4 linked regions of the Elephas maximus indicus genome follow. The protein of the gene in region 2 purifies or fractionates together with the protein of the main gene of each other region. This does not show direct contact. Links are inferred from orthologs where the notes say so. Each region holds a gene or a part of one and is shown on either strand. Other genes may lie near its edges. The genes, in order: DOCK1, RAC1, CAV1 and NCKAP1.

Region 1 (7,912 bases), on a different chromosome or scaffold from region 2:
TTCCTCATTTCCACCCAGTTCAGCTGTCTCACCTCCACCTGGTGAAGCTCTGAAGAACAAGCCCCACCCTCTCTACCTGTCACTCAAATCTCTCCCAGAATTTCCTGGCAAAACCATCTGGTATCGTTTTCTTCTGTGGCAGCTCGAACTTCTAAGAGTGAGTTTTCCTAAAACCAAAGTATTAGCAGAAGGTGTGATGTTAGAAATCACTGCTGTGAGTGCTGGAGAAGCTTCTGGAAGGTGTGTGACATGTCTCCCCTGTGAGAAGACCCTGCCTGCTCTACCTGTGAACACTCCCTTTAGACCCCACAAGGTCCTTCCAGTCACCCAGGGAGGCAGCAAAGGGTCTCAAAAGAGCACTTGCAAAATGTCGTGTCCTGAAGATAAGACCCTCGTCCATCTCCTGGTGAGCGCCAGACACAGCCGTAAAGAGAGGTGGTGAGCTCTAGGGCCAGCTGCCAGGGTTCAGATCCAGGACCTACCACTTACAGAGGGCCGTGGCGATTCAGTGGTAGAATTCTTGCCTCCCATCTGGAAGACCCAGGTTCGACTCCCAGCCAACTCTCCTCATGTGCATTGTGTATTCAGTGGAGGCTGGTGTGTCGCAATGATGCTGAACAGGTTTTGTTTCAGCAGAGCTTTAAAACAAAAATAGACTAGGAAGAAAGGCCTGGTGATCTGCTTCTGAAAATCTGCCAGCGAAAACCCTATGGATGACATTTGTCTGATCCACGACCAGCCGCGGCGATGGCGCAGGGCCGGCAGGGTTTTGTTCCGCTGGGCACGGGGCGGCCGTGAGCTGGGGCTATCTGGATGCCGCTACCACAATCACCACAGGCTAAGAATGGGTAAGAAATTTACCATCTTTGCCTCGGGCTCTGCCTCCACCTCCGGACTGAGGTGAGGTTTAAATTCTCTAAGATGACACAAGGGTTAGGCCTCCCCAGTGCCTGGCCCCCCAGGAGGGGTGAGTGACAGCTGCTTCCCGCTTGCACCAGGCCCTCCAGTCAATTCTGACTCACAAGACCCTAGAGGACAGAGTAGAACTGAAGGGTTTCTAAGACTCTAATCTCTACCGTGAGCCCTGTCCTCTAGGGCTGTCCCAGGCAGAATCTCCTCAGAGCAGATCTGGGAGTTTCCGTGAGGACGCCCCCAGACTGTTCAGTCTGGGGGCGCCCAGGGGGTGTGCGCATGCTCAGTCCACAGAGTCAGAAAGCTCCGCCGTGGCCCTTTGTGAACCAGTCTGAGCCTCAGTTCCCTCACCCCCAAAATGGGGTGACAATCAGCCCCCTCGTGAAGAACGAGCCCAGTGTGGGCCCAGAAGGCATGAGACTTGCTCCAGGAAAGGCCCGAGCCACTGTGCACACCCGCTCCATAACCACGGCCCACCGTTGGCCGCTATGACGGAGCAGATAAACTGGGGTTCACAGAGAGTGGGAAGCCCTGAGACTAGAGCCCTCACAGACTGCCCAGAGGTCAAAGGGCCCGGGCCTGAAGCCCAGCAGCAGGAGGCCTGGGCAAGGCAGTCAGGGGTGGGCAGAGCGCCTGCAAGAACAGGGAAAGGGCATGCTGCCGGCGGGCGAGGCCAGAGCTGCAGCAGAGAGCGTGCCCTGCTGGGAGCCCAGACCCTGTGGCTAAGGAGGCAAGATCACAAAGGTCTCACAAGGCAGAGGAGAAGACTGGCGTTGATGAGGCAAGGGATCGGGGACTTCCGTCAGGCAGACAGTGACATTGAACACCACAGGCAGATCTTGGGGTTGGGATCCAGACCGGAAGGCGCGTGGGCACGTCAAGAAGGCCCGGACCCACACGCCTTGGCAAGACCCAGCTGCAAATTCTGGAGAAGGGGCGGGCAGGCATAGTTTGGCGCGGGGTCGGCTTGCTTTGCCATTAAGAAAAAACTCGCTCTCTGGAATGTGTACTCGGGGTCCAAAATGTAAACTTGCAACCCGACACCCCCTGCCCCCCTCAGGAAACAGCAAAGTGCAGCGAAGCAAACACAGGCCTGCGCGCCTAATCCGGGGTCCAAGCCTCAGGGTGCTGGGCTGCGAAGCCTCAAGGGTCCAGCAGGGCCCAGTGCAGGGCCAACCAAATGGCGTGAAGCGGCCATCTGCCCGACAGGGTCGCGCACACCACTCCCCACCAGATGCGAGCAGAATTCTGAGTTTTGATCATTGCAACGTGAAACTGCCCAGCCGGGGCAGATACGGAACACAACTTCATCCAAGAAGCAAAAAAGGCGTCAGGCCAAAGACCCCGGAGATTCCCCGCAGAACTGACCGCTTCGGCCGCAGGCGGCGCGTATACCAGTGAGGGGGGGGCCCTCAGGCTGCAAAGTTCCACCACTGGGTGCCTGAGAGCTGGAGGTGGGGGAGGGAACACCCTCGAGGAGTGACACAAACTGCCCCAACCCTGCGGGCCAAGCCCGGTTCCCGGCCGGTCTACCGGGTCTAGGGGGGACACTGCACGACGAGGGGGCGCGGGAACGGGTGTGCCGGCCCCGGGATCCAGGTAGGGCATTGCCCGCCGGGGTGGCGCCGGCAGGCGGTGTCGCGGCACAAGCTCCAGACGGAAACGCCTCCTCCCGGCCACCCTGCATCCCGCCCGCTCCACTCGAGTGGGGAGGCAACAGGCTCCCGGGCAACCCCGCCCGCCGTCCGCGGCTCGCGCCTGATGGTCACCCCGGGCCGCCCGCCGCACGCCCAGGCGCCCGCCCAGGACCACCCGCCCCGGAGTAAGTTCGGGCAAGTCCCAGCGCGAGCTGCCGGAGCGGGTGCCGGCTCCCAGGGCGGCGGACGCGGGACGCGGGTCACCCGTGCGGCGGCGGGGACGCGGCGACCCGGGGGGCTCAGCCGGTAGCCGCCCGCGCCCGCCCGGCCTGCCTCGGAGCCAAGGCCCGCGCGAAGTTGGGCGGCGCGGTGCTCACCCACGCCATATTTCTCCTCTCTCTTGGTGGGCACCCAGCGCGTCATAGTGCCGCACGGGTCCTGGCACCCCAGGGGCGCGCGCCGCCGAGAGCCGCCGCCGCTGGCCGGACAGGAAACTCCGCGCCTAGGCCGCCATTTTCCATTCCTTTCGAGCCGCGGCAGGATGGGGAGGAAAAAGTTTGTGGCGGAGGCGGTGTCATGTGGGACGGGGCGGGCGGAGCGTCGCCGGCCGGATGGGAAAGGCCCGGAGCGCCGGCAAGAGGCGGGACGGCTGCGGGCTGCGCGCCGCCCTCACGCTCGGACCCGGGCCTCTGCCCTGCCTGCGCCCGCAGACCGGGAACGCAGGGCCGCCGCCCTGCCCGGAGCGCCTCTCCTGAACCCCACCGGCGCCCCCTGCGCCGCACACCGAGCCCCAACCGCTCCTCCTGCCCAGGGACCCAGCTTTATTCCTGTGGTCCCCCTCGTTCACGGCCCACAGACATTCCCAATGGAGCACCCCACGGGGCGTCTTCGTTTCATTCTTGGCTGGATTTCTTTGAATCAGCGAGCCTCCTGGAACTCTTACAAGGAGAAGAGAACTTCCTGAGGGACCGAGTGGAGGTGGGCTCTGAGCGGTTTGCACATGGGCGGGGGGGGGGGAGGCGGGGGTAGGCCTGAGCTGGATGACACAGTGTTTCCAACTGAGGTTCCCCGCCTTGGTGGAGAGTCCCCAAGCAGAGCAAAAGGAGTGGGCACCCTGGGAGGCACCTTCCAGAACACTTGGCTCATTCATTCATTGTTAGGTGCCCTCCATTCGGTTCCCAGTCATAGGGACCCTATACACAACATAAAGAAACCCTGCCCAGCCCTGCCCATCCTCACAATCTTTGCTGTGTTTGAGCCCATTGTTGCGGCCGCTGTGCCAATCCCTCTCGTTAAGGGTCTTCCATATTTTTGCTGACCCTCTACTTTACCAAACATGATGTCCTTCTCCAGGGACTGTTGTGACTCGTTCCTCCAAATAACGTCCAAAGTATATGAGACAAGTCTCACCATCCTCCCTTTTAAGGACCTGTACTTCTTCCAAGACAGATTTGTTTGTTGTTCTGGCTGTCCATGTTATAGTCAATATTCAAAGGCATCAGTTCTTCTTCGGTCTTCCTTATTCGTTGCCCAGCTTTCGCATGCATGTGAAGCAATTGAAAATACCATGGCTTGGGTCAGGAACACCTTAGTCCTCAAAGTGACATCTTTGCTTTTTAACACTTTAAAGAGGTCTTTTGCAGCAGATTTGCCCAATGCAGTACATCCTTTGAGTTTTGACTACTGCTTTCAAGGATGTTAATTATGGATCCAAGTAAAATCCTTGACAACTTCAATCTTTTCTCCATTTATCATGATTGTTGGTCCAGTTGAGAGGACTTTTGTTTTCTTTATGTTGAGGTGTAATCCATACTGAAGGCTGTGGTCTTTGATCTTCATCAGTAAGTGCTTCAAGTCCTCGTCACTTTCAGCAAGCAAGGTTGTGTCATCTGCATATCACAGGTTGTTAGTGAGTTCCTCCAATACCGATGCTCCGTTCTTCTTCATATAGTCCAGCTTCTCGGATTATTTGCTCAGCATAAAGATTGAATAAGTATGGTGAAAGGATACAGCCTTGAAGCACACTTTTCCTGATTTTAAACCATGCAGTGTCCTCTTGTTCTGTTCAAACAACTGCCTCTTGGTCTATGTACAGGTTCCTCATGAGCACAATTAAGTGCTCTGAAATTTCCATCCTTGTTAATGTTATCCACAGTTTGTTATGATCCAAACAGTCAAATGTCTTTGCATAGTCAATAAAACACAGATAAACATCTTCCTGGTATTCTCTGTTTTCAGCCAAGATCCATCTGACATGAGCAATGACATCAGCAATCCCTGGTTCCACGTTTTCTTCTAAATCAAGCCTGAATTTCTGGCAGCTCCCTGTCGATGTACTGCTGCAACTATTTTTTGATTACCTTCAGCAAAATTTTACATTCATGTGATATTAGTGAGGAGACCCTAGGGGCGTAGTGGTTAAGTGCTATGGCTGCTAACCAAAGGGTAGGCAGTTCAAATCCACCAGGTGGTCCTTGGAAACCCTATGGGGCAGTTCTACTCTGTCCTGTAGGATAGCTATGAGTCAGAATTGACTCAATAGCAACGGGTTTTTTTTTTTTTTAATAATGATATTGTTCAATAATTTCCTCATTCAATTGGATCACCTTTCTTTGGAATAGTCATAAATATGGATCTCTTCCAGTTGGTTGGCCAGGTAGCTGTCTTCCAAATTTCTTCACATTGACAAGTGAGCACTTCCAGTGCTGCATCCATTTGTTGAAACATCTCAATTGGTATTCCAGCGATTCCTGGAGCCTTGTTTTTCGCCAGTGCCTTCAGTGCAGCTTGGACCCCTTCCTTCAGTACCATCGATTCTTGATCATATGCTACCTCCTGAAATGGTTGAATTTCTTTTTGGTACAGTAAGTCTGTGTATCCTTTCCATCTTCTTTTGATGCTTCCTGTGTCGATGAATATTTTGCCCATAAAATCCTTCAAAACTGCAACTCAAGACTGGAATTTTTTCTTCAGTTCTTTCAGTGTGAGAAATGCTGGCATGTTCTTCCCTTTTGGTCTTCTAACTCCAGGTCTTTGCACATTTTGTCTTCTGGAACCACCTTGTGAAATCTTCTATTCAGAATCAACTCCATGGTAGTGGGTTTTTTTTTTTTTTCTTTAATTATTTTACTTCATCATTTCTTCCACTTGCTTTCAAAAAATAAAGAAAGAAAGAAACCAAACCCATCGCCATCAAGTTGATTTCGACTCATAGCGACCTTATAGGACAGAGTAGAACTGCCCCATACGGTTTCCAAGGAGCGGCTGGTAGATTCGAACTGCTGACCTTTTGATCAGCAGCTGCCGCTGTTAATCACTACGCCACCAGGCTTTTCATTTGCTTTAGCTACTCGAAATTTAAAGGCAAGTTTCAGAATTTCTTCTGACATTCATATTTGTCTTTTCCTTCTCTCCGGTCTTTTTAATGACCTTTCGCTTTCTTTATGTATGATGTCCTTGATGTCATCCCACAACTTGACTGGTCTTCAGTCATTAGTGTTCAGTGCATCAAATCTGTTTTTGAGATGGTCTCTAAACTCATGTGGGATATATTCAAAATTGTACTTTGGCTCTAGTGGACTTGTTTTAATTTTCTCTAGCTTCAAATTAGACTTCCATATGACAATCGATGGTCTGTTCTACAGTCAGCCTCTTGGCCTTGTTCTGACTGATGATATTGAGCTTCTCCATCATCTCTTCCCACAGGCATAGTCAAGTCGATTCCTGTATATTCCATCTGGGATCCACGTATTTTGTTGTTGGAAAAAGATATTTCCAACAAATAGGAGTTTGGTCTTGCAAAATTCCGTCATGGGAACTCCAGTGTCTTTCTGTGACAAACACTGAGTGCTCGAGTGCTAGGAGCAGAAGACAAGCAAGGCGTGAACTCCACCCCTAAGGCCAGGGTGTGTGGTGGCGGAGGGGAGAGGATGGGTAAAGTAACAAGGCCTGGATAAGTAAACACCACACACTGTCTTGATCCAGGTCAAGGTTGACTCTTAGTGGCTTGCAAAGATACCCAAAGCTGTTGGAAGATGGTTGGAGACACCGTGGCCCACCATCCTGCTGTGAGAGTGCCTGATACCTGCCGTCAAGGTCACCCAGAGCCAGGGAAATCTCAGCATTCCACCCAGAAGGCAGATTAAATAAACACACTGGAATGACTGAGGTGCTTTTCAGTGTTCACCGATGAGGGGAACCAGGCTGTGTGCAAGAAGATAACGTGTGTAGGATGCAGGAGTTCGCAGTAAAGCAACCACCAAGTCATACATAGTTACAGGCCTTGCTCGACTGATAAGGAACTTCAGTCCAACAAAGGGAAGGGGCTGGGCTCGCACCACACATGGTCTCTCTCACCCGCTTGAAGCCTTCTGTGAAAACAGAAACCTCAGGGGCTCAGGTCCTGAACCCACAGCCCAGCGACTGTGGTCCCTTGAAGGAGAAGCAGCGGCAAAGGTGCTACGCAGGAGAAGTAGGGTGCTCGGGGACAAATGATGTGGCCTCACCTAGAGGAGGAATGCCTCCTGAGGAGACGATCCAAGCACAGACTCTAACCATAAAGGGGAACTAAGTAGGTGAACAGGAACCCTGGTGGCTCAATGGTTAAGCACTCAGCTGCTAACCAAAAGGTTGGCAATTCAACACCCCCAGCCTCTCTAGGGAGAAAGGTGTGGCAGTCTGCTTCTATAAAGATTTACAGCATTGGAAACCCTATGGGGCAGTTCTACTCTGTCCTATAGGGTTGCTATGAATCCAACCTGATGACAATGAGTTTGCTTTTACTTTTTTAATTAGGTGAACTGATGAGGGGCCGAACAGCACATGCAAAGGCCCTGAGGTGCTATGGTGCTAATCTTTCAATGAGCTGAAAAGCCAGTATGCCTGAAGCAATGTTGTTGTTGTTGTTAGTGGATTCTGACTCATGGCAACCCCATGCGTGTAGAACAGAAGGAACCTCTGAATGGGTTTGAACCATCAACCTAGTAGTTGAGAGCTTAACCATTTGAGCCAAGCAGGGCAATAGGGACAATAAGACAATAGGAAAACGGCACAAAATGAGGCTGCAGAAGTAGGCAGACCCTTCTAGGTCTTGTTAAGAATTTGGGATTCTCCCAGGAATATGAGGAGGATATGAAATGTGTGACTAACTGCTTCCATGAAAACTGCCCCCTTTGCCATGAAGCCAGAAGTACTGAATGATCCCGGCTACCATTACTGAACATTTTGATCACAGATTTCATAGAAGAATCCCGATCGAAAGGGGGTAAAATACAGAACAGAATTTGAAACTTCCATGGATTCTGGACTTTCTGGAGCCGTTGGGTCTGGATAAACCCCTGAAACTATTGCCCTGAGATGATCTT
Region 2 (7,503 bases):
TTCTTGAACATTTTCATTGATGATTTCCTCCTTTGCTTTCTCTGTGTTCTTTTTTTGTAGAACTTCCTATTATTAGTATGGTTGGACCTCCTGGGCTGTTTCTAATAATGTTCTTACTATTCCCTCCTCCATTTTTCTATCTTTCTGTCTTTTGGGTCTTTTCGGGAAATTTCCTCAAGTTGATGTTTCAACCTGTCTATTTTTTTCATTTTGCTAGCTTTCTTTTATTTTCCAAGAGTTTTTTTCCCCTTAATCTTCTGAATGTTCTTTTTTTGTAATACAAAAAAAAAAAAAAAATTGCCATAGAGTCAATTCCAAGTCATAGAGACCCCATATATCTTATTTAAATTATATTATTTTATCTGAATATTCTGATAGCTTTAAAAAAAAAAAAAAAGTTCTCTTCTCCCTGCCCTGTTTTTGTTTTCCTCAACTTTATTTTCTAGCTTCCCTTCTGGAGGATTTCCTGAGCTACCTGCTTAGGAGTACAGGCTTGCTGGTGATCCCTCCCCATATTGTATCTGTTTTTCCCGTCTGCGCAAGGCAGGTTCTCCAGAGAAGGGCCCTCCACACTCTTAGGGAAGGGTGTATCTCTTGGGCTTCCTGGAGCCATAGGGGCAAAGTGAAAGCTGGGAGGGACTGAGGTCTCTGCCTAAGGCTACTAAGTTCCTTTGTTTTTGTCTCATTATCTAAAGATTCCCTGGTTCATCTTGTTTTAGAAAGGAATCTCCAGTCTTTTGTAGAGGGGAGGGAAGGTGGCCCCTCTGCTTAGTGCATGGTGGGAGGCAAGGTAGGGGGCTCCAAGCTTCTCAGCTTTCGCCCCATCCTCCTTATCTTTCCCTTCATCCATAAAGACCCAGTGCTGCTGGTTTTGAGCCTCTGATTTTCTGCTACAGAGCTGGTGTGGATCAGCTTTTCTCACTACCAGTCTAGGTCTGTTTCAGGTGGCTAAGTCAGTTGCAACCACTCTGTCCCCTCATCTACTTATCTGGTTTCAGCTTCTGACATCAGGATGTCTTTTTCCCCATTCCCTGTTCCAAGATTCTTTCTTTCTTTCTTTTTAATTCCTTTATTGAAGTTCTTACAAGGTTTTTGGTGGACATGAAATTAGATCTCTGTGATCCACCATCTTAACCTGGAAATGAACTGCACTGTATTGTATATTTACTTGCCCATTATGCACCTCCCCTACTAGAATGTAGATTCTCTGATGATAAGACAGGGCTACAGCCATTTTCTTAAAATTGTTGTCTCCTCAGGACAGCCCCTCACCCAGCCCATTTCCTAAAGTTGTTTTTCTTCTCAGAACTTCTTTGAAAAGAAATAGCCACCGGCTAGCCAAAATCGACCAAAACAGGTCCTGCCCTCCATCTTGGCACTAGAGATAACCTTTAGCTCATTAACTGCCTCATGTGTGGTAAATTCTCTGCACCTGGGTTGAGAGCTAACATGCTAACAAACAAAAATGGCTAACTTCCTCCTCCATGAGGAATTGAACCCAGGACTTAGAAAATGCTTACTCATTTTAAAATGCTCTGTGCCTGCACCATTTTGTATTCTGAAACTAATCTTTCCTATATAAACCAGCCTTTTTTTTTTTAACAAACTGCCCGCCAGGCAGTCTTGGATGGCACAAAGTCGCGACTGTCTTCTTGCTTGCCTTTCCCTCTTCCCAACTCAGTCTCTGTGATTTTGGATGGAGTAGTGCTGAGCAGAACCTGGAGCTCCTAGCAACAATGGCAGGGCTCTGTTTTGTTCATTTCACACTTTCAACGCCTAGACAGTGAATGGAACAGAAGTGGGTGCTCAGGAAATGAGTAAATGAATGACCTTGAATGAAGGACCTAAACAGGGTACAGGATTCCATACACTTGATAAATGAGTTAACCAGGTAGCACGTTCAGAAACACGCATGGTCTAATTGAGTATTTATTTGCTTTTATTAATTTTAATTGGAACTTTTTTTGATCACTTGTTTCTGTGGGGAAAATTATAAGTAGATACTGAAGGAAAAACTTGGAGAAGGGTGATCACTGAGTTTTAAATTAAGAATGATTTTTATATGTGCACTGAACATTAGTTTGGTTGCTTCGCAGTCGAACCTCTTTATAGTGGACTTCTACTTTACCAATCTGGAGAAATAATAATTTGAATTTTATTGTGTCACTTCTTGAATTAATAAAATGAGGAATATAAGAATAAAGTCCAGATTCAATGCAGTTTGTCATCCAGCCTGTGAATACTTCTCTGGATTCGAGACCTGAACAGTGCAAACGCTTGTCTTCTCTGTGTCACATCTGAGGACAGCCTACTCTTCTGCTGGCCATGTAACCTATGAATAAAGTCCTCTCTGTGGAAAACTCTTTTCTTCTTGCTCCATCAATACCCACTAAAAATCCTATCCAAATCCATCTTCCAACTCTCAGCTCAACTGTCATCTCTTTGAAGAAAACCTTTTTGTAGGCATGAATATCTTTTCCATGCTTTGCCTTCTGATAACCACCATACTTGTAATCTACTTATAACAATGAGCACAGTAGGCCTGGTGTCCTGGCAACTATGTCTCTGTCTGGTTTATTTACTACCAGTTCATTACAAAACAACAGCACAACACTGATATTTCTTGAACTGTATTACTGATGAGTCCCCACCCTTTTATCTGGCCCTGGTAACACATGAAGGTAATCATGCTGAGTAGTTAGGTTTGTCAACTAGAAAATTTTTTCAGCAGTGACAGAAAACAGGATGTTGTTTCTCTATCACCTTTGAAATTTCAACTATTCCTCAAGGGTGATCTTTATGAACAGAGCAAAAAGAAGGTGCCCTTTGCCCTGGGAATATGTTTATTTTGAAATAATTGTAAGCCAAAAATGCTTTAAAAATTAAAAAAAATATATACTTGTATTCAAAGGGTCTGATTTCAGAAAACTGGTTCAATACTGGGCAAAAGAGTAAGTCATAGGGAAAGAAGGTCCTACTAAGATGAAAATACAAGTGGAAATTAACTTCTCTGGAGGGTCCACTCTCAAACAGTGCTGATAGGAGTGTAAACTGATTATCAGCTTCCAGGAGGGCAATTCAACTACATGTATGTATAAAAGCTTTAAAAACATTCACAGGTACTGACCCAGTAACTGCATTTATGGTAAAAGTAGTCATGCAAATGGTTAATGAGCTTGGCTGCTAACTGAAAAGTTGGCAGTTCAAGTCCACTCAGAGGCACCTCAGAAGAAAGGCCTGGCAATCTACTCCGGAAAAGTCAGCCCCTGAAAGCCCTATGGGGCATGGCTCTAATCTGACATACATGGGCACACATGGGACTGCCATGAGTCAGAATCGCCTAAACAACAACTGGTTACTGGTAGTCCAAAGAAATAAAACTATAGGAAAACATTCTTCCATAAACACGCTCATTCCAGCATTGTTTATAATAAAGATTAGCGACATTCCAACTGTCCAGTAACAGAAGAATTGGTTAAGTTACGTGGGCATAATAGAATAGCAAGCAGCCATTAACGATGTTCTAACATTGATCTCTCAATTTTATTAAAACCATGTTCTCTATGTACGTACGGAAGACCTGGCGGTGTAATGGTTAAGTTCTACGGCTGCTAACCAAGAGGCTGGCAGTTCAAATCTGCCAGGCGCTCCTTGGAAACTCTATGGGGCAGTTATACTCTGTTCTATAGGGTCGCTATGAGTCAGAATTGACCCGACGGCAGTGGGTTTGGTTCTCTACGTATATAAAAAATTAACTAGGAAATATACCGAACTTTAGTGCTTTGGTATAAAGACAAGGGCATTTTTGTTCAGTTTCATCTCTAGAACTTGGTACAAAACATAGGGCACAGTTGGCCCTCAATACATTTTAAAAATAATACAAGATGATAACACAGAAGAAGAAAATTAAACACTTTCTTTTGCTGAATGAACATGGGTTCTCTCTGAACACTGGTGCGGTGTATGTTTTGATATAGTTTTCGGTTCCGAATTTTCTAGAAAGACCTTAGGTGACTATCACAATAAAATGGATAATAAAAAGTGTGGGCTGGAATCAATACCCTTCAGATGACCTCGGACAGGAGCTGATCTGCGTAAGCGTGGCTCCTGGAACTCAGTGCATCTTTCAATGCCTAAATCCTGGGGGCTGTGCCGAGAAGAATCCCCCACTCCAAGGCCGGTCCCCGAGGCGCAGGGCGCCCCCACAACCTCGACCGGCCAGAGACAGGCTCGTGACCCCAAGATGGCAGCCCTCCCCGCAGCCGCCGCCGAGCGCTTCCGGGCGTTCCCGAGCGTCTCCGAAGCCAAGAGGAGCCCCGCCCGCCAAGCGGCCCTCTGAGGCTCGCCCTGCGGTCGCAGCCGAGCGCTTCCGAGAGCTTCCGGGCGTCTCCGAAGCCCAGAGGAGCCCCCCGGGAGCCGCGCGGGCGGGCCGGCGGGCGCTGCCCCGCCCCGGAGCCTGGGAGCGGCGGCGCCGGCGCGGGGGAGGGGAGGCCGGATGTGAGTGGAGCGGCCATTTCCTGTTTCTCTGCAGTTTTCCTCCAGCTTTGGGTGGTGGCTGCCGCTCGGCTCCGGCTCGCAGTCTGCTGAGCGCAAGGCGGCGTGGACAGCGGCCCCGGCACTTCGCGCCCCGCCGCCCGCAGCTGCGCGCCTGCCCGCCGCGCCCCGCGCCCGCCGCTTCTTGCTTCACCGCGCGGCCGCCGTCGCCTCCCCGCGAGCGGCCCAGATGCAGGCCATCAAGTGTGTGGTGGTGGGAGACGGGTGAGTGCGCGGGGCCGGGCAGGGCGGCCGCGGGCGGGGGTCGGGCCGCGGGCGGGGGGCGGCCCTGGCCGGGGAGGCCGGAGCCGCGGGCTCGCCTAGGGGCCGGGCCCGGCCTCCCCTCCCCGGGCCGGGCGGCGGCGGCGCGGACCCCCTCCCCTCTTCCCGGGACCGGGCTGCGCGGGCCTGGTTCCGCCTTTTTTTGTACGTGGAGGAGGGAATGAGCGCCGGCTGGAGGGAAAGTGAACTCCACCCTCCAGCTCCTGCCCTGCTCCCGGGCCCGCGGTGGGCGCCGGGGCCGGAGTCGCCGAATGCCCAACTCCCCTCCCAGCGCTGCTCCCCACGCTCCCCTTACTTGCCTGTCGGTTAGGTGGGATTTAGAGTCGCCTTTTAAAAAAAAGAAGGACCGTCGGCTTTTATAGGATCCTCTCGTGCCCCATGCACCCCATTGAGCGCTTTCGTGGGCAACAGTGGCCAAGTTAATAATGTTGGATGAATGTTTTCCTGGGCGGGGTTGGCGACCCCAAACTTCTTTGTGATGAGATATCTTCGACTTGCGCTTCGCCGGTTCTAGGGCTTTTAGATGATTATTTTTGCTATTTCTTAGAGAAACTTTTTAAATATATTTCATTTCATTTTGTTGTTGGGAATGTGCGCAGAGCATTCATCAATTCACCAATTTCTACACGTCCCATTCAGTGACATTGATTACATTCTTCGAGTTGTTCAACCATTCCCCCCTCTCCTTTTCTGAGTTGTTCCTCCCTCGTTACCATAAACTTACTGCCCCCTAAGTTTCCCATCTACTCTTTTTGTGCTGCTTTTGTCAATTTGCTCTCTGGGAGAAGCGTTTAAGATTTTAGCTGTGAAGAAAGGAGCTGGGTGTGATTAAGATTGTTCCCTTCGTTGAACATGATGTGGTCCCCCCACCAGAAAAAAAAAAAAAATTGGCCTTCGCTTAATGCGTTAGGTATGGGGTGTAGCAGAACAGGCTGCCAGAGCGGAGCTGCCCTGTGACTCAAGGCATTTCTTTTCATTACTGTCTGGGGGGGTTCCAGGCCCTAGAGGAAGACAAGACTTGTCTTATGCAGGTTTTTTTTCCTCCCATAGAAACAAGACTCTCAGTATAATCCGAGCGGTGTTGTGCGTCTCAGCCTCGCTCGTGTAGTTTGGTGTTAACAGGGAAGCTTGAAAACTCACTACCAGTTTCGTCACGTTCAGAACGCAACTGATACATTCTCAAGTGTGTAGAGTCGAAGGAGACGTTCTGGAGTCACTGATCTTTTAATTAGCGTGCTTCAAACTTGTCATCAGTACTGATTGTGCGTGTATGCCTCTAAGTGAATTTATTAATTCTAAGTTTGACATTTGAAATGATCTCTGTGACAATTGAGATGCAAGAACAATTAGACATTTGATTGACTTGTCGGACTTAGAGGTGAGAAGGGTGTTAATACTTGGTGGTTCTATACATATAACTGAAAATTGTTTCTCTCACTTAAGAATTTGTAAAAATTTTTTGTTTTTCTGTTTTTAAACCTTTTAAAAGCTTTAAGGCCCCTGCGTGGCGTAAACGGTTTGCACTCAGCTGCTAAGCTAAGGGTTGGCCAGTCAAACCCGCTCAGCAGTACCTCAGAAGAAAGGCCTGGCAATCTGCTTCTGTAAATATTTCAGCCAAGAAAACCCTATGACGCAGTTCTACTCTGTAACACATGGTGTCACCCTGAGTCGGAACTGACTCCACGGCAACGAGTTAGGTTTGCTTTCTGTCATTTGACTAAAACACGTTCAGTTAATTGGCTTAAGTGTGAGATCAATAGATTCAGTTAAATGAAGTTTTGATATTTGCATAATGAATTAATTAAACATGTCACTTTTTCTTAGGAACATTTTTAATTATCTGAATTTCCTTTAAAAGTTAGAAATGCTAAATCTATAATGCCTACGACAGCCAAACTCATTGCCACTGAGTCGATTGTTACTTATAGCGACCCTATAGGACAGAGTAGAACTGCCCCATATGGTTTCCAAGGAGCGGCTGGTGGATTCAAACTGCCAACCTTTTGGTTAGCAGCCATAGCAGTACCACAGCTCCCAATACTTTGAATATGAACTAATACATAGTATTTTTTTAAGTCAATGAATTGCTGATAATTCCATATTCAACCATAGGATGTAATATTCTTACCTTAAAATATCAGAAGGGAAACCATAAGTGCTAGCAGATATGTTTAGCTACTATTTGTATTGACTAGTTTATAGTCCAACAACTTATTGACTGCCTACCATGAGATCTGAATCCTCCCTTCAAATCCCTGCCCACCACTTATGGGGTAACCTTGAGCAGATCATTATCCCCCAAGAGAGGTGCCTCAAGGGGAAGTCTCGCGGATTAAACAAGATGCTGTATATTAAGTACCTCCCAGGTGCCTGGCCCCCGGGTGAGTGCTTAGTAGTGCCAGCTTCCATTATTCTTATTTTTGCTGCTTCTGTTACTGTGAGGCACAGCTAGGCTCCGTGAGGGAGTGCTAGGCATAAAACACAGTTCCTGACCTGAGTTTTCAATAAGCCTTCTAATGCTGTACTTGGTATTCTCGATGTTGTAGTCAAGAAGCAATATTAGGCTAAGGCTGAGCAACATTAGAAGTGAAATGTACCTTTACAAAAAACTGAAGCTGTATTACTTGAAATAAGGACTGGTAAGGAGCAAATGGAAACCCTGGTGGCGGTAGTAGTTAAGTGCTGTGG
Region 3 (6,932 bases), on a different chromosome or scaffold from region 2:
CAGGACGGTGTCTTCATACTCCTACCAAGAGGTCAGGCCTTTCCTTGGCCCTCGATGTCCCTCAAAGAAAGCCCTCTGCCAAGGATGGCTTAGGCCCACGATTTCTCAATTCAGATAGATCCAGACAATAAATTCCTCTGACTAGATTTGCTAAAATGGGTCAAAGTTGAATAACATAATAGTAACCAAAAAACTGACCACTGAGCCAGCTATAAGTTTGCGCATAACTTATTCAATCTATTTTTAGTCTTACTAAACATATCCTGAAATTACAAGAAGGAACCCCAACCCCAGTATCCCCTTAGCTCAGGGCAGGCTGACCTGTTAGCCACTAAAGAAGCATCTTTCCATACCTAACGAGGGGTGTCTAGAGGAGAAATCAAGAGGTGCACAGTAGTTTGTTTTTGTAAAGTTGCTTAGCTGTGCACAGGCGCCATGCTTTTCTAGTTGAAATACCCTTCCCTCAATTATAATTATAAATGTAGTATATACAGAAATATATGTGTATGTTTGTATATATATGTGTGTGGAAACCCTGGCGGCCTAGTGGTTAAGTGGTAGCCAAAGGGTCGGCAGTTTGAATCCACCAGGTGCTCCTTGGAAACTCTATGGGACAGTTCTACTCTGTCCTATAGGGTTGTTATGAGTCGGAATCGACTTGAGGGCACTGGATTATATATGTGTGTTGTGTGTGTATATACGTGTATATATACGCAGTAATATATATATTTATATATGTTTTGTTTTTGGGGGGACCTATTTATATATATATATTTTTTTTTATATATTATTCCACTTTATTATTTTTAAGAAAATCACTTCAGGGTATTTAGCAGTGGGCTGCCCATTCTGTATTCTGCTCTCACCTTTGGCACATGACCTTACACAGTTATCTTACTACCTTAATTCCATGTTCGGTGGGTGTCACCCTTCACTAGATTGCACTAGACTCCGACCTGGAAATCGAGAGGGTCTCTTATAACGTGGCCATCTCACCTTCCCAAATAATCTGAGCCTGTCTGTTGCTGAGGTCAGGAGGCTATTTACCAGAAGAAAAGCGCAGTTATATGGGCTACAAAACTCAAGTTAACTAAATTCCAGCTGAACTAAGCAAGGCGGGGGGTGGTGGGGAGGGGGGCGGGGAGGATGTGACATTTCAACATTTCTAACAACCGCACGCGCTCCCACACATCCAGCCTAGAAAACGGCGTGTGTGGCAAAGCTAGAAAAGAACGCACAGGCTGATTGCCAGGGGTGGGCTGTCCAGGCCCTGACAGCGGCCCCTTAGGGACGTCCCCTCCCCTCTTGCCGCCTCCGCTTACCTTGACCACGTCGTCGTTGAGATGCTTGGGGTCGCGATTGACCAGGTCGATCTCCTTGGTGTGTGCGTCGTACACTTGCTTCTCGTGCATCTCCTCTGCCATGTCCCTGTTGTTGGGCTTGTAGATGTTGCCCTGTTCCCGGATGGGAGCGGTATAGAGATGTCCCTGTGGAGCGCGGACGGCCAGGAGGGAGAGGGTGGCACCAGTGGTGGCAAGAGAATTTAAAAAAGAAAAACAAGCGAGCAGAAGTTAACCTGGCTGTGAGGAAAACCTCGAGGATTGAAATCGAACTAACCGCGTCGGCAGCGGCGGCTCCGCGCAGAGTCAACTCTTTGGCGCCGCAAGCTTTTTAAGAGGATCCAGGCGAGGACACCACACCCCTCAGTACCAGGCAGGGAGCGCCAGCCTCCCCCGCCCGCCGCCAGGGGTCAGGGCGAACCCCACGGCCCGGTCCGCCGTGGCCCCCGCCCCGCGCGCACCCTGCGTGCAGTACCCGGTGGAGACCCCTAGCTGGGAGGGGGCCCCCCAGATCTCTGACTTGGCTCCAGCCCCTCTCCCCGTCACACCACCCTCGCCCCGAAGGCTTCACCTGCTCCAATGCCCTTCCCCAGTCCCTCCATAATCCCCGTCTCTCCATAATCCCTTCCAGTTTCATCCTTAAGAGTTTATCCTCATTTTCGTCTTCGCATTTTCGTTGTTTCCTGACAGCTCGCACCTGCCCACGTGCCCCACCCTACCTCTGCCCTCTGTTGACCCCCCCCCCAAGTTTTCCCCTTCCTTTATAGTGGTTACAGTCCCGTATCCCCTCGTCTCTGGGCCGAGCCACGTGCCGAACCCCCGAAATTCCCCATCCGAGCAACATCTCACTCGCACTCCTCCCCCGACCCACCCTCAGGTAACTCCTAGACCGCAGGCCTGTGACTGAACCGCTTGTGCGTTTGGGAAAACGAATTCTCCACACCCGGGAGGATGCGGGACGTGGGGAGGTGGTTGCAAGCGGTGGTGGTAGTGGCGGAGAGCGCGGTCTGCTCCTCTCCAAACACCCCTGCCGGGCGCCAAGATGCAGGAAGAGTTCTTGAGATAGCCCAAGAGCTTTGGAAAGTGCAAATACGGCAAGCGGTCCGGGCGCCTGGCGGGGACTCTCGGGGACTGTCCCCAGGCCTGCGAGTAAACGACCTCCTCCCGCCCTCTCCATCCTCCCGCCCAGTGCTCCAGCTCCCCGCCTCGCAACAGGTAGGGGCCGGTTCGTGGGGGCCCGAGACAAGGGAGCGTCCCAGACACATCCAGAAAATGCGTTCTCGGGCCGGCAGACTCAACCTCAGGACCCCGACCCTCTTTTCCGCGTTCCCCTAGCTCAGAGGCCCCGCTGCCCCCTGCCCCACAGGAAAACTTTCTTGGCTCCTCTTCGCCTCCCCCGCCCAGGTCCATTCCTTAGCCGTGCCAACGCGCGAGGAGTGCCCCAAAGTCAAGAGAGGGCTGGGGCTGGAAAAGCAGCTGGAATATGTGGAGTAGGACATAGCCGGCACAGGTACTACACGTGCGCCCCGCGCCCAGGACCGCAGCCTACCTCGGAATCTACGTATTTGCCCCCAGACATGCTGGCCGGTGGCTGGATGAAGGCTCTCAGGAGGCTTCCCTGGGCTGCGATTTAAGGGAACTGAGGAAGGAAGATCTTGTATTGTATAGAGGGAAAAAAAGGCACTGGCGGCGGGCGGTGGCTGGGAGCGCGCCTCCTGGCCGCGCGCCAGGAGTTTGTTCTGCTCGCGGTTGGCCAGGACGTGCGCGGCGCTGGGTCTAGGCACATCCCCAAAGTTCTGGCAGCAGAGGGCGGGGAGGGCCCGCAGGGAGCGGAGAGCGAGTGGGAAAGCTTGAGCGCGCGGAGGGCTGTTTGGGCAGATGTTTTAAACCTGGGGCAACATTTTCCTAGCTATGAGCCACCGAGAGGCATCTTGAGGACAGCGAATGCTTTCGCAGTGCATCATCCGAGCAAGGGTGGGGGTGCACGCAGCCGACCGGCCTGCAGAGATGCCCAGAATGGGCACTCGAGCCGTCGGAAGGAATTCTCCCCTCTTCCAAGCCCTTTTTCGCCTTGCCCACTTTTCATCGCCTCCTGAGAAACATGGCTCCACCATTCAGAGGAACGGGTGAAGAGTGGCTCGAAACCTTTAGGTGTATTTCACATCGAGACACAAGAAGGAATTTAAGTGGTGCACGTGTGTGTGCTTTTGGTGACACTTGTTTACGTCTAGGCGGCGTGGATAGCAACTTGGATAAACCGGCACGCGCAATTTGATGTTTCACGACCGCTTCTGAAATGTTTCCCAAATGCTTTGAAATGAATACAAATGTTTGACATTTCTCTAATTTTACTACTGCTCTTTTCTTGAACAAAGAAAATTCATGCCAATAGATTATGCCATATTTACAAAATATATACAATATTTAACGGTAAAGAAATGTTTAAAGCTTGGAATTTATTACCAGACAAGAATTTAAAAAAAAAAAAAAAACGTATCGGGCTGTGAGCTAGGGGGAACTTGGGTTTCCTAGTGTTATGGATTGCATTGTGTCCCCCCCCCCAAAAATGTGTGTCGTTTTGCCTAGACCATGATTCCCAGTATTGTGTGATTATTCACCATTTTGTCATCTGATGTGATCGTCCTTTGTGTTGTAAATCCTACCTCTAAGATTTTAATGAGGCGGGATTAACGGCATTATGTTAATAAGGCAGGACTCAATTTACAAGATCAGATTGGCTCTTAAATCAATCTCTTTTGAGATATAAAAGAGAGACTCCGTCAGAGAGACAGGGGATCTCATACCAACGAGAAGCAAGAGCCAGAGGAGCAGCAGTCCTTTGGACCCCATCCCTGCGCTCAGAAGTTCTAGACCAGGTGAAGACTGCTGACAAGGACCTTCCCCCAGAACCTACACAGAGAGAAAAAGCCTTCTCCTGGAGCTGGCACCCTGAATTCGGACTTGTAGCCTCCTAGACTGTGAGACAATAAACTTCTGTTTGTTGTAGCCGCCCACTTGTGGTATTTCTGTTAGAGCAGCACCAGATAACTGAGACACCTAGTAACTGATACGGGAATTTTTAAAAACTTGTCAGCAATTAAAATATTTTATCTGTCCCCCAATTGCGACTTCTCTTTACCTTATCATAAGCAGCACAAGATGAATTAAACTACTCCTCATTTTACTTTTTGGCTATAATAAGACAGGAAATAAACTATCCAAAAATGGAAAGAACTTTTTCCCTAAGGTTACATATGTAATTAAAAGTCAATTATATACGTGTGTATTTACTTCACGTTATAATTGACGTATACATATATATGTCGATTTTCACTTAAGGTAAAAAAGCTGGGAATACACCTAAAAGGTCACAGGTTAATTAAAAACACTGGCAATCTAGAAAGGTAAAAAAGCTGGGAATACACCTAAAAGGTCACAGGTTAATTAAAAACACTGGCAATCTAGAAAGGGGAATAAAGGAGTGGGCAAAAGGAGGAGGAGAAGGGAAGATACAGAATAGAATCATAACAAAGTAGATTATCTAGTTGGAGAGAAAAAGGTATGAACATATGAAAAGGAAACCATAAAGGACAGGCTATTGATGGTAGCAAAAAGACAACACAATATTTAATTAAAAAGATCTATTTCAACCAGGAATATTAGGCAAAGTGTCACGAATGTTGGCATGACTTTCGGTATGCTGGTTATTCATCACTAGAAGGCTGAAGATCTTTTAAAAGTTGGGTTTTCTTCATTTTATTTCTGCCAAATTGCATTTCTAAATTCTTTGAACAAATCATGTGTTAAAGAACATGATATGCTAGCAAAGGATGGTGCCAGGTTTAATATGCTGTGTAGTGACTAGTCTACCTCTACTGATTACTGTTGGCTTAACTCTTTCTTCATAAATATTTGCTACAAAACAGTTGGGGTTATGGTCTATGGAAAAATGTCCAAAGCATTTCCCATCTATTGTTACTCAGTCTTCAGCTGCGGATGAGTAATTTTGACCGTGGGGGGAAAAAATCAAGAGGAACACGGAGAGAGCTTGTCCTGCATTCCAGCAAGGAAAGGACTTTCTTGGGAGGCTGTTGAGTGAATGCTTAACCAGCACTCCACTGAGGGAAAGCCAAGCCTGCTGGGGTAAGTCCACAGAGACGGTGAATTAACAGCTGCAATCGTGATGATCAGTGAAGCGTTGTCAATGCCAAATGAATTCCTAATGAAAGGAAAAACCACAAACTCCTTATTAACCTGCCTCAACAAGAAGCTGGCACCAGAGAGAAACAGATCTAATTCTGGTTATAATAACAAACTTTGAATAATAGCTCCACCTTTATGAGAAAGAAAAGACGAAGAAGAACATTGTTAGCATGAGAACACCATTTGAAATGACTACATGATATAAAAAATAAAAATATTGTTTCTTTGATACTCACACAGATAACTGTATGCTTGGAGGTAAGTTAATAGCTTTCTCCAAATCATTTACTAAGAATTGGGTAGATGGCAACTCATTTCTCATTACTTTTTTTTTTTTAGAAGTAGGATTAAAGGTCAGTTCATGTATCAAAGTTTACGAGAAAAATGTAAGGGACACAGATCAGCTGGTCCAACCATCCTAGAGATGAGGAAAGTGGTATTGAAATATGTTAAACTGTTTGTTCTTTAGAAGGTTTATTGGGTAATGAAACATTTTAAAGTTGATAAATGACAACAGCAGCAGTTAACTTAAGGGATGTATTTGACTATGTACAGCAGTATAAATTTGATGATATTTAAATAGCACAGTAGTATAAATTTGACTGTATTCAAGTAGTATAGTCAGGGCAAAATTCTGACGTGAACTTAGCTGTTTTTGTGTTCTCTCATCTCCTTCTCTGAGCCCGCTTTCCCCCTGTCACGACTTCCTCTTCCCATCCTTCCCATCCTGAGTTCTTTTTTACTTTCCAATCAGTTTCCCTGGAGTTGGCTCCTACTCATGGTGACCCCAGGTGTGTCAGAGTAGAACTGTGCTCCACAGGGTTTTCAATGGCTGATTTTTTGGAAGTAGATCACCAGGCCTTTCTTCCAAGGCTAACCTCGGGGTGGCCTGAAATTTCCAACCTTTTGGTTAGCAGCTGAGTGTCCTTAACTGTTCGCATCACTCCTATGTTCAGCTAAAAAAAAAAAATGTTTAGCTAGCTTCATCTAATTCCCACTCTAGGATTAGGTGATAAGGAGTCCAAGTTTTGACCACTTACAATGGTATTAGTAGTTTTAAGAAACAGATTTCTTTCCAACAATTTCCAAATACGTTTTTGTCAGTTAGTCCAGAAAAGAGATTATAATAGGGGCTATCATGTGGAATGATAGGAAACACCTTTAATAACCAGTATGACAGAGCCACTGATCAGTCATTCTGGACTGTAGCTGTCTTGGAATCCTGCTGGCTAGGCATTAGTCCTTCCTTTAGTTGCTGGATCATGGGGTGCAGGGCTCAGGAGAAGGGCTGCAGGGAGGTGAGGCATTTTGGAGCAGTGACTGTTTACATGAAGGCACATAAATCTGTCCGTATTTTTACAACCTATGTGTTCAGCTGAATCTTTACTC
Region 4 (7,055 bases), on a different chromosome or scaffold from region 2:
GAACCGGAGAGGCATTTGATTATACAAAGATGGGAGCTGGGTCCTCAACTAGTGTAACTTTGACATCATGTTGTCCAAGAATTTCTGCCCTCCAAACTCAGGTTCCACTGTCATAACCAAAGCCATATCTAACTGAGTAGGCCATGGTGCCAAATACTCAACTGTAGTTCCTGGTTTGATGGCAAGGCCAACACTTCATATCATGCTCCCGAATGTCTTTAATCAAAGCTCCTGGGTTCTCAGTGGCCTCAGGATGAAAGGTATATTGATTGGACCCTGCTATAGCCACTGGCTTTACCCACTGTTCAGGCCTGGACACCATCATGTGTACGTTAAAGAAAGGGTCCTGGCCTAGCTGCTTTTGGAGGCTTTCTACCACAGGGTGACCAAAGGTGGTGCTGGTAACAAAATGCCTGTCTGTTACATCCAGGTGCAGATAATCAGCTCCAGAGTCCAGCATCTGGAGGCACTCCACCGCTAAATTGGCCAGGCTGCTGTTGAGGATGGACAGGACAATCTTGCAGCCAGACACCATGGTACTGGTTCCTCCCATTTTCTTCTTTTTTAATTATTTTTTGGTTGAGAATATGCACAGTGAAACATACACCAATTCAACAGTTTCTACATGTACAATTCAGTGACATTAATTACATTCTTTGACTTGTGTGACCATTCTCACTCTCCTTTTCTGAGTTGTTCCTCCCTCATTAACTTAAACTCACTGCCCCTTAAGGTTCCTAACTAATCTTTTCAAGATGCTGTTGTCAGTTTGATCCCATATACATAGATCTAAAAGAGCATAATGCTCAAGGCAGACATTCTTTATTAGTTAAGCTAAACCATTGTTTGATTTAAGAAGACTTCAGGGAATATTTTTGGTTTAAGGTTTAGAGATTATCTCAGGGCAATAGTTTCAGGGGTTCATCCAGCCTCCATGGCTCCAGAAAGCCTGGATTTCATGATAATCTAAAATTTTGTTCTGCATTTTGCCTCTTTTGGCCAGGATTCTTCTACACCTGTAAACCCATTGCCATTGAGTCGATTTCAACTCATAGCGACCCTACAGGACAGAGTAGAACTGCCCCATAGGGTTTCCAAGGAGCTCCTGGTAGATTTGAACTGCCTACCTTTTGGTTAGCAGCCGTAACTCTTAACTGCTACGCCACCAGGGTTTCTGGAATCTTCTATAGACTCTTTAATCAAAATGTTCAGTAATGGTAGCTGGGCACCATCCAGTCCTGGTCTCATAGCAGAGGAAGCAGTTGTTCACAGAGGCAATTATCCACACAGCCATTTCTTCCTCCTATTCCTGACCTTCCTTCTCTGTTGCTCCAGGTGAATAGAGACTAATTGTGCCTTGGATGCAGTACCATTTTCATGTTCTCTCTGTACAGTACTTTGAAAAAACTAGAAAATTAGATAACTTTGCACTGGTGGAACTCCATTATTATGTCTCTACTAAAACTGTTTGTGGTGCTATAAAAGAGCACAGTCTTTCCACAACATTTGGCACCTTTCAGTTTTATCTGGCAGCTCCAAACCCCTCACTGCAACATCCCCTTCCAAGGTCTGTTCTTGTTATCCCAGGCTACAGATCATTGCCTTTTCTCTAAATTAAAACTTTAAATATCAGGTTGAAAGAAACCAGATAATTTAAATATCCCAGCACATTAATACTTATTCAGTCTGAATACTGAGCAAATAATCTGAGAAACTGGCTATATGAAGAACGAGGCATCAGGGTTGGAGGAAGAGTCATGAACAATCTGCGATATGCAGATGACACAATATTGCTTGCTTAAAGCGCAGAAGACCTGAAGCACTTAACTGATGAAGATCAAAGACTACAGTTCTCAGTATGAATCACACCTCAACATAAAACAAAAATCCTCATAACTGGACCAATGAGCAACATCATGATAAGCTGCAAAAAGACTGAAGTTGTCAAGGGCTTCATTTTACTTGGATCTACAATCAACACCCATGGAAGCAGCAGTCAAGAAATCAAACATTGGGCATTGGATTGGACCAGTTTGCTGCAAAACATCTCTTTAAAGTGTTAAAAAGCAAAGATGTTACTTTGAGGACTAAGGTGTACCTGACCCAGCCCATGGTATTTTCAATCACCTTATATGCCTGGAAAAGCTGGACAATGAATAAGGAGGACTGAAGGAGAACTGATGCCTTTGAATTATGGTGTTGGCAAGAAATATTGAATCTACTGCCAGAAGAACAAACAAATCTGTCTTGGTAGAAGTACAGTCAGGATGTTTCTTAGAAGTGAGGATGGTGAGACTTTGTCTCCTGTACTTTGCACATGTTATTAGAAGGGACCAGTTTATGGAGAAGACATCATACTTGGTAGAGGGTCAGCAAAAAAGAGGAAGACCCTCAAGAGATGGACTGACACAGTGGCTGCAACAATGGGCTCAAACATAGCAACGATTGTGAGGGTGGTTCAAATGCAGTGTTTCCTTCTATTGTACATAGGGTCTCTGTGAATCAGAATCCACTGGAGGAACACCTAACAAGAACAACACGTTAATGACCTATAACAGTGCATTAGGTGGCATCTCTGAGACGTTTGTTTTAAAAAAAAACAAAACTCTTCAGGTACAAAAATGCAGCTCTAAGTATAGAATTCCAAGCACACTGGTAGGTACCATTATGTATTTTTGTACTTGGTGGGTACAGGGCTCTTTTTAATGCCCTTGAAAACAAGTCCTATGAGTCTCCGAACCGACTCATGGTTCCTAACAACAAAAAAAGTCCATTTAGTCTACTCACTTTCATTTGTTGGGGGTATTAAAATCAGGATTTCCATAGGTATAGTAGATACATTAGCTTTAAAAAAAAGTTTAAGAAGCTATTCATCACAATTTCCTTTTCATAAAGTGTTTTGATAAACCCAATGATAACTTATTTACTCTTTTATTGAAGTTAGCAGAATATTTTGTCATTGGCTTAAAACTAATGAAATAATGCAAAAGATTGATACATGGAAGGGCAGTAAGGCCAAAATCATCAAAGTGGCTCTACTTCTCTAGGCTTGAATCCTCATCCCAGCCAATTACATAAGTCCTTGATTTGTTCACTTTTGAAACCGTATCTGATATATTTGACCAGAGGGAATAGTAGCCTTGAAGTGTGGCTAGGAAACTAGCCAGGAAAAAAAAAGAAACAGAGAGATGGAAAAGTAGAAAGTTTCTGAAAAGCGGTCGGACTTAGGGTGGAGGCCAGGAAAAAATGGGAGCGTTCCTTCACCCACTGAATAAACATTTATTCTGTGCCACCCACGTGTTTCTCGTGGACAAATTCCAGATTCTGATTATCTCAGGAACTTGAGTTGTCCTCACTTCCGATCTCCTCCCGCATAAACTGCTTGGGGCAGGGGTGGTGTGGGGGTGAGTTAGGATGGAATGGGGAGCTTGGGAGAGGCGAAGCCGCTTCGCGGAACACAACATCTGCTGTGTTCTGCGGTGAGCGTCTGTCAAGCAGTGGGAGGAAAGGCGCCTGGAGCCACCAGCCCACTCTCAGGAGAAGCTCATCTGAGACTCCTCCCCGCCCCCCTACTTCTTCTGGTTTCTTTAGGACGATGGCGCAGAAAGACAACTTATGTTGCCACTTTAGGAACTTGAAGGCTGGGGGGTGCTGGAAGCGGCGGGACGCACAGAGAAACGTGACCCTACTCGGTCCCCACTTAGGACTCACATTTGGGGAATAGGCGCAGGCAGCGAGTCGGGTTCAGGTGGGGTCCGGGTCCAGAGTGGCTGCGACTTGGAAGCCTGTCGGGGTAGGCAAGGGCCTGCCTGGCGCAGTTCTCCGACCGTCCTCGCGGGGGCGCCGGCGCGGCCGATCAGGTGACCGAGCGCCCGTCCGGGGCTGCGGGAAGCCGCCTCGTTCTCAGCCGCCGGAGACGCCGCTGCCGCCGCCACACCTAGTGGAGGAGTCGGGGAAGGCGGCTTGGTGGGGGCTGGGACAGAAGGCGGCGGGGGTGGGGACGGAAGGGCGGCGGGCGGAAGGCAGGAGGCTGCCGGGGCGCGGGCTGCTGCGGGGGAAGGGACCCCAAGGCGTCCGCCGCGGCTCGCTCTGTCACCGGCGCGGGGTTGGGACGCTAGGGCCATGGACGCGCTTCCCTGAGGCGGAGGTCGCGGGCGGGAGAGGAGGAGGCCGAAGAGAGGTTACTGCGGAGGCCGCGGGCCAGTGACCGGGCGCCAGCAGGCCGGCGGCGGCGGCGGCACCACCACCATGTCGCGCTCCGTGCTGCAGCCCAGTCAGCAGAAGCTGGCGGAGAAGCTCACCATTCTCAACGACCGGGGGGTCGGCATGCTCACCCGCCTCTACAATATCAAGAAGGTGCGCACGGGCCGGCGAGGCCGCGGCGGGCGGAGGGCCGAGGAGGGATGGAGGGTAGGGGAGGCCTGGAGGGTGCGGGGCGGCGCCGCGGGCAGAAATCCAGCATCGCCGCGTCAGGCCCGGCCCGGAGTCGCCGGGATGTGCCGCGGCCTAACGGGGAGTTCCGGGAGCCTCTCCCGGTGGCTCGCGGGCCGACCGGAGGCAGGGAGAAGCCATTTCCCACTTCCCAGCGGCAGGATCCGGCGCCGGCCCTGGCGTGGGGTGGGGGCGCCGTTGCCCCCTTCTTCGCGCCTCCGCCCCCTGGACGGGGTCGTCAGGAACGGGAGAGAGATGGGTGGGCTAGATTTTCGGAGAATAGGAAAAGTTGGGTGTTCCAAAACAGACGAAACCCTAGAAATCTGGCGGGGATAGCAGTGAACGGGGATTACACCCCACCTCTCAATTTCTTGGTGTGTGGGAATGTGGGAAAGGAATGAATGGCTAATCAACATTAACCTACATTCTTTCTGCTCTGCCAGTTTATTTGAGATTGCTGAATAAAAACCATTTGAGAGGCTGTTGACGATTTGGGATTATTTCATTTTTTGAAGGTGGAGAGGAGGGGGAAGTGAGGGTGGAACCAATTTTCTTCTCAAATACTTCTGGGCTGTGAGTCACTAGAACAGGAATAACAACCTTCTTTCCCTACCCCCTTTACTCCTCCTCATCTGAATTTTTCCAGCCCTATCTGATAATGTTAAAACACCATTTCTTAGACTGTGGTGTCTATACCAAATAAAAATGTAAATATGTTGTGAATTCTGCAGATTTATAGCATAATCAGATAATTTGAGTAGCTAATAGACTCATTGAAAATCTTTACATGTCTTCAGCAAATTTAAGAAATGGGAGGTTGAATTGTAGTTAAGAAAAATAGATGTAATGGTAGAGCAAATATTGCATTCATTTATCTTAGGAGAAAACAACAAAAATCCTTTTCCTTTTTAAAGGTAAGGTTGGTAATTTTTAATGAATGTGGTTAAGAGAAAATTAAAGAGCAATTTTGTTTGCAGTCTAGAGCCTTTGAGTTTCCAGTGTGTATTTGGTGTCATTATCTTCATGGTTATTTTTGCTGGCTTTTTAAAGTACCACGAATATTTTATTTAATCGTAGCAGTAGAATCGCAGCTTTTGTGAGTCTTGGCTGCTGAAGAAAGATTGTGTTTTTCAAAATTCACATCATGGGGTTCAGGTATAAAATTTGAGGTAGATAGTCTACTTCTAAAGGGAAAGATGGTTTTGCTGTAGTTACGATAAATTTTGGATAAGGATTGCTATGGTCCTCCAGTTGCTCACAAGGATGCAAGGATTGACTCTGCACCCAGTGCAGTCTACCTGTGCGGTTTGTTACATTTTATGTGACTGGGGCATAGTGTCATTACAAAGAAGCCCTTTGCATTTACTAAGATGCCTTGGTTATAAATTTATGTACGTTAGGAATAATTTAATTTTAGATAGTATTACTTGTAGGTTGCATTGACTTGAATGTTTTGTGAGATTATACTTTTTAGACAACTCAGAAATTGGTTCCAATACAAACTTTGTCCAAACAACTAGCAATTCAAACTTCAGTAAAGTTACTAGACCTGTGGTATTGTGGTTAAAGGAAATGGTTATGATGGTTTCCAGAAGAGGAAGTGAGAGTAACATCAAAAGTGATTTGGTATTTGGGCAAAACACTTTTTTTTAAAGCATACATTAAACATTTTTATATTATAAATGTAAGCAAACTTACCATATTCTACCATAGTAAATTAGGTAAGGGTAAACTAAAATCTAAAGATCTGAACAGATGACGGTTCACTGTCTTTTCTCAAAAGCAGTTTTTTTTTTTTTACTTCCTGTTTTGAGAAACTTTAGGCTCTTGAAGTAGCAAGATTTAAAATAAGTTGAATGTGATCAGTATTATATCCATGTGTCAAATACCTTGAGTTTTTGAAATGTTGTATTTCAGCACTTAGCACATATTTGTAGTTCATTGGGAAATATTTTATCTACCTTGCCTTAACGTGAGTTCCCTTGGGGCAGGGACAGTGTTATTCATCCCTAAACTACTGGTATTTAGGGTCTCACTTGGTACCTGAGGCCTTTAAGGCCTTGTTGAAATGAATGAATACAAAAAATATATATACCTTGCCCACATTTCAATAATAATAATTTTGGTTTGCTCTCCTTGTGTAACTGCATATAAATGCATTAAAGAAATTTTGGATCTTTTAGCCTCTAGAGTTGCCTGTGAGGCCAGCTTATCTTCTCAGCTGGCTAGGGATTGAAACATTTGTTCCAAAATCTTGCCAAAAACAGTAATATGTGTCCACCATGTGTTCATGCTGTCTGCATTCTTATGACAGTATAAACCACATAATCTTTTCAATCTCAACCTTTATAGTCTTCAAAAAACTACCACCCTATATACATGCCATTCAGTTATCATTCTTTTATTAATGCATATGTACATTAGATTGTCTATCAGATTTGATTAATCTTCACTCCAATTGAAAGTCTACTCTGGAAATATTTTAGCGAGCATGTACAATGAAAAATGCAAACTTCAGTGACCTAAGTCTAATAACACTTTTATAAGTTACTCTAGACAATAATATTATGCTTTAATGCTCATGGAGCCCTGGTGGTACAGTTGTTAAGAGCTTGGCTGCTAAC

What was found.
Region 1: the proteins of RAC1 (region 2) and DOCK1 purify together in Homo sapiens (pull-down; 6 studies listed by BioGRID and IntAct, with this or other methods). This does not show direct contact. The link is inferred for Elephas maximus indicus from reciprocal best matches to the Homo sapiens genes RAC1 and DOCK1.
Region 3: the proteins of RAC1 (region 2) and CAV1 purify together in Homo sapiens (affinity purification with western blotting; 4 studies listed by BioGRID and IntAct, with this or other methods). This does not show direct contact. The link is inferred for Elephas maximus indicus from reciprocal best matches to the Homo sapiens genes RAC1 and CAV1.
Region 4: the proteins of RAC1 (region 2) and NCKAP1 purify together in Homo sapiens (pull-down; 4 studies listed by BioGRID and IntAct, with this or other methods). This does not show direct contact. The link is inferred for Elephas maximus indicus from reciprocal best matches to the Homo sapiens genes RAC1 and NCKAP1.

The regions. Positions count from the first base shown.
Region 1 is NC_064834.1:76,807,440-76,815,351, reverse strand, and holds the start of DOCK1 (dedicator of cytokinesis protein 1), read right to left. Parts: upstream 2,973-7,912; coding exon 2,927-2,972; coding exon of another isoform or gene 2,788-2,926; intron 2,735-2,787; coding exon of another isoform or gene 2,455-2,734; intron 2,302-2,454; coding exon of another isoform or gene 1,973-2,301; intron 1,777-1,972; coding exon of another isoform or gene 1,689-1,776; intron 1-1,688. Other genes in the region: translation initiation factor IF-2-like, read left to right, coding at 1,689-1,776, 1,973-2,301, 2,455-2,734, 2,788-3,527, 6,255-6,260. UniProt on the Homo sapiens protein: Involved in cytoskeletal rearrangements required for phagocytosis of apoptotic cells and cell motility. Along with DOCK1, mediates CRK/CRKL regulation of epithelial and endothelial cell spreading and migration on type IV collagen.
Region 2 is NC_064830.1:100,915,350-100,922,852, reverse strand, and holds the start of RAC1 (ras-related C3 botulinum toxin substrate 1), read left to right. Parts: upstream 1-4,486; 5' UTR 4,487-4,723; coding exon 4,724-4,758; intron 4,759-7,503. UniProt on the Homo sapiens protein: Plasma membrane-associated small GTPase which cycles between active GTP-bound and inactive GDP-bound states.
Region 3 is NC_064826.1:33,195,060-33,201,991, forward strand, and holds the start of CAV1 (caveolin-1), read right to left. Parts: upstream 3,014-6,932; 5' UTR 2,920-3,013; coding exon 2,890-2,919; intron 2,410-2,889; exon of another isoform or gene 2,212-2,409; intron 1,488-2,211; coding exon 1,323-1,487; intron 1-1,322. UniProt on the Homo sapiens protein: May act as a scaffolding protein within caveolar membranes. Forms a stable heterooligomeric complex with CAV2 that targets to lipid rafts and drives caveolae formation. Mediates the recruitment of CAVIN proteins (CAVIN1/2/3/4) to the caveolae.
Region 4 is NC_064824.1:81,383,291-81,390,345, reverse strand, and holds the start of NCKAP1 (nck-associated protein 1), read left to right. Parts: upstream 1-4,124; 5' UTR 4,125-4,248; coding exon 4,249-4,356; intron 4,357-7,055. Other genes in the region: nematocyst expressed protein 3-like, read right to left, coding at 3,712-4,124. UniProt on the Homo sapiens protein: Part of the WAVE complex that regulates lamellipodia formation. The WAVE complex regulates actin filament reorganization via its interaction with the Arp2/3 complex. Actin remodeling activity is regulated by RAC1.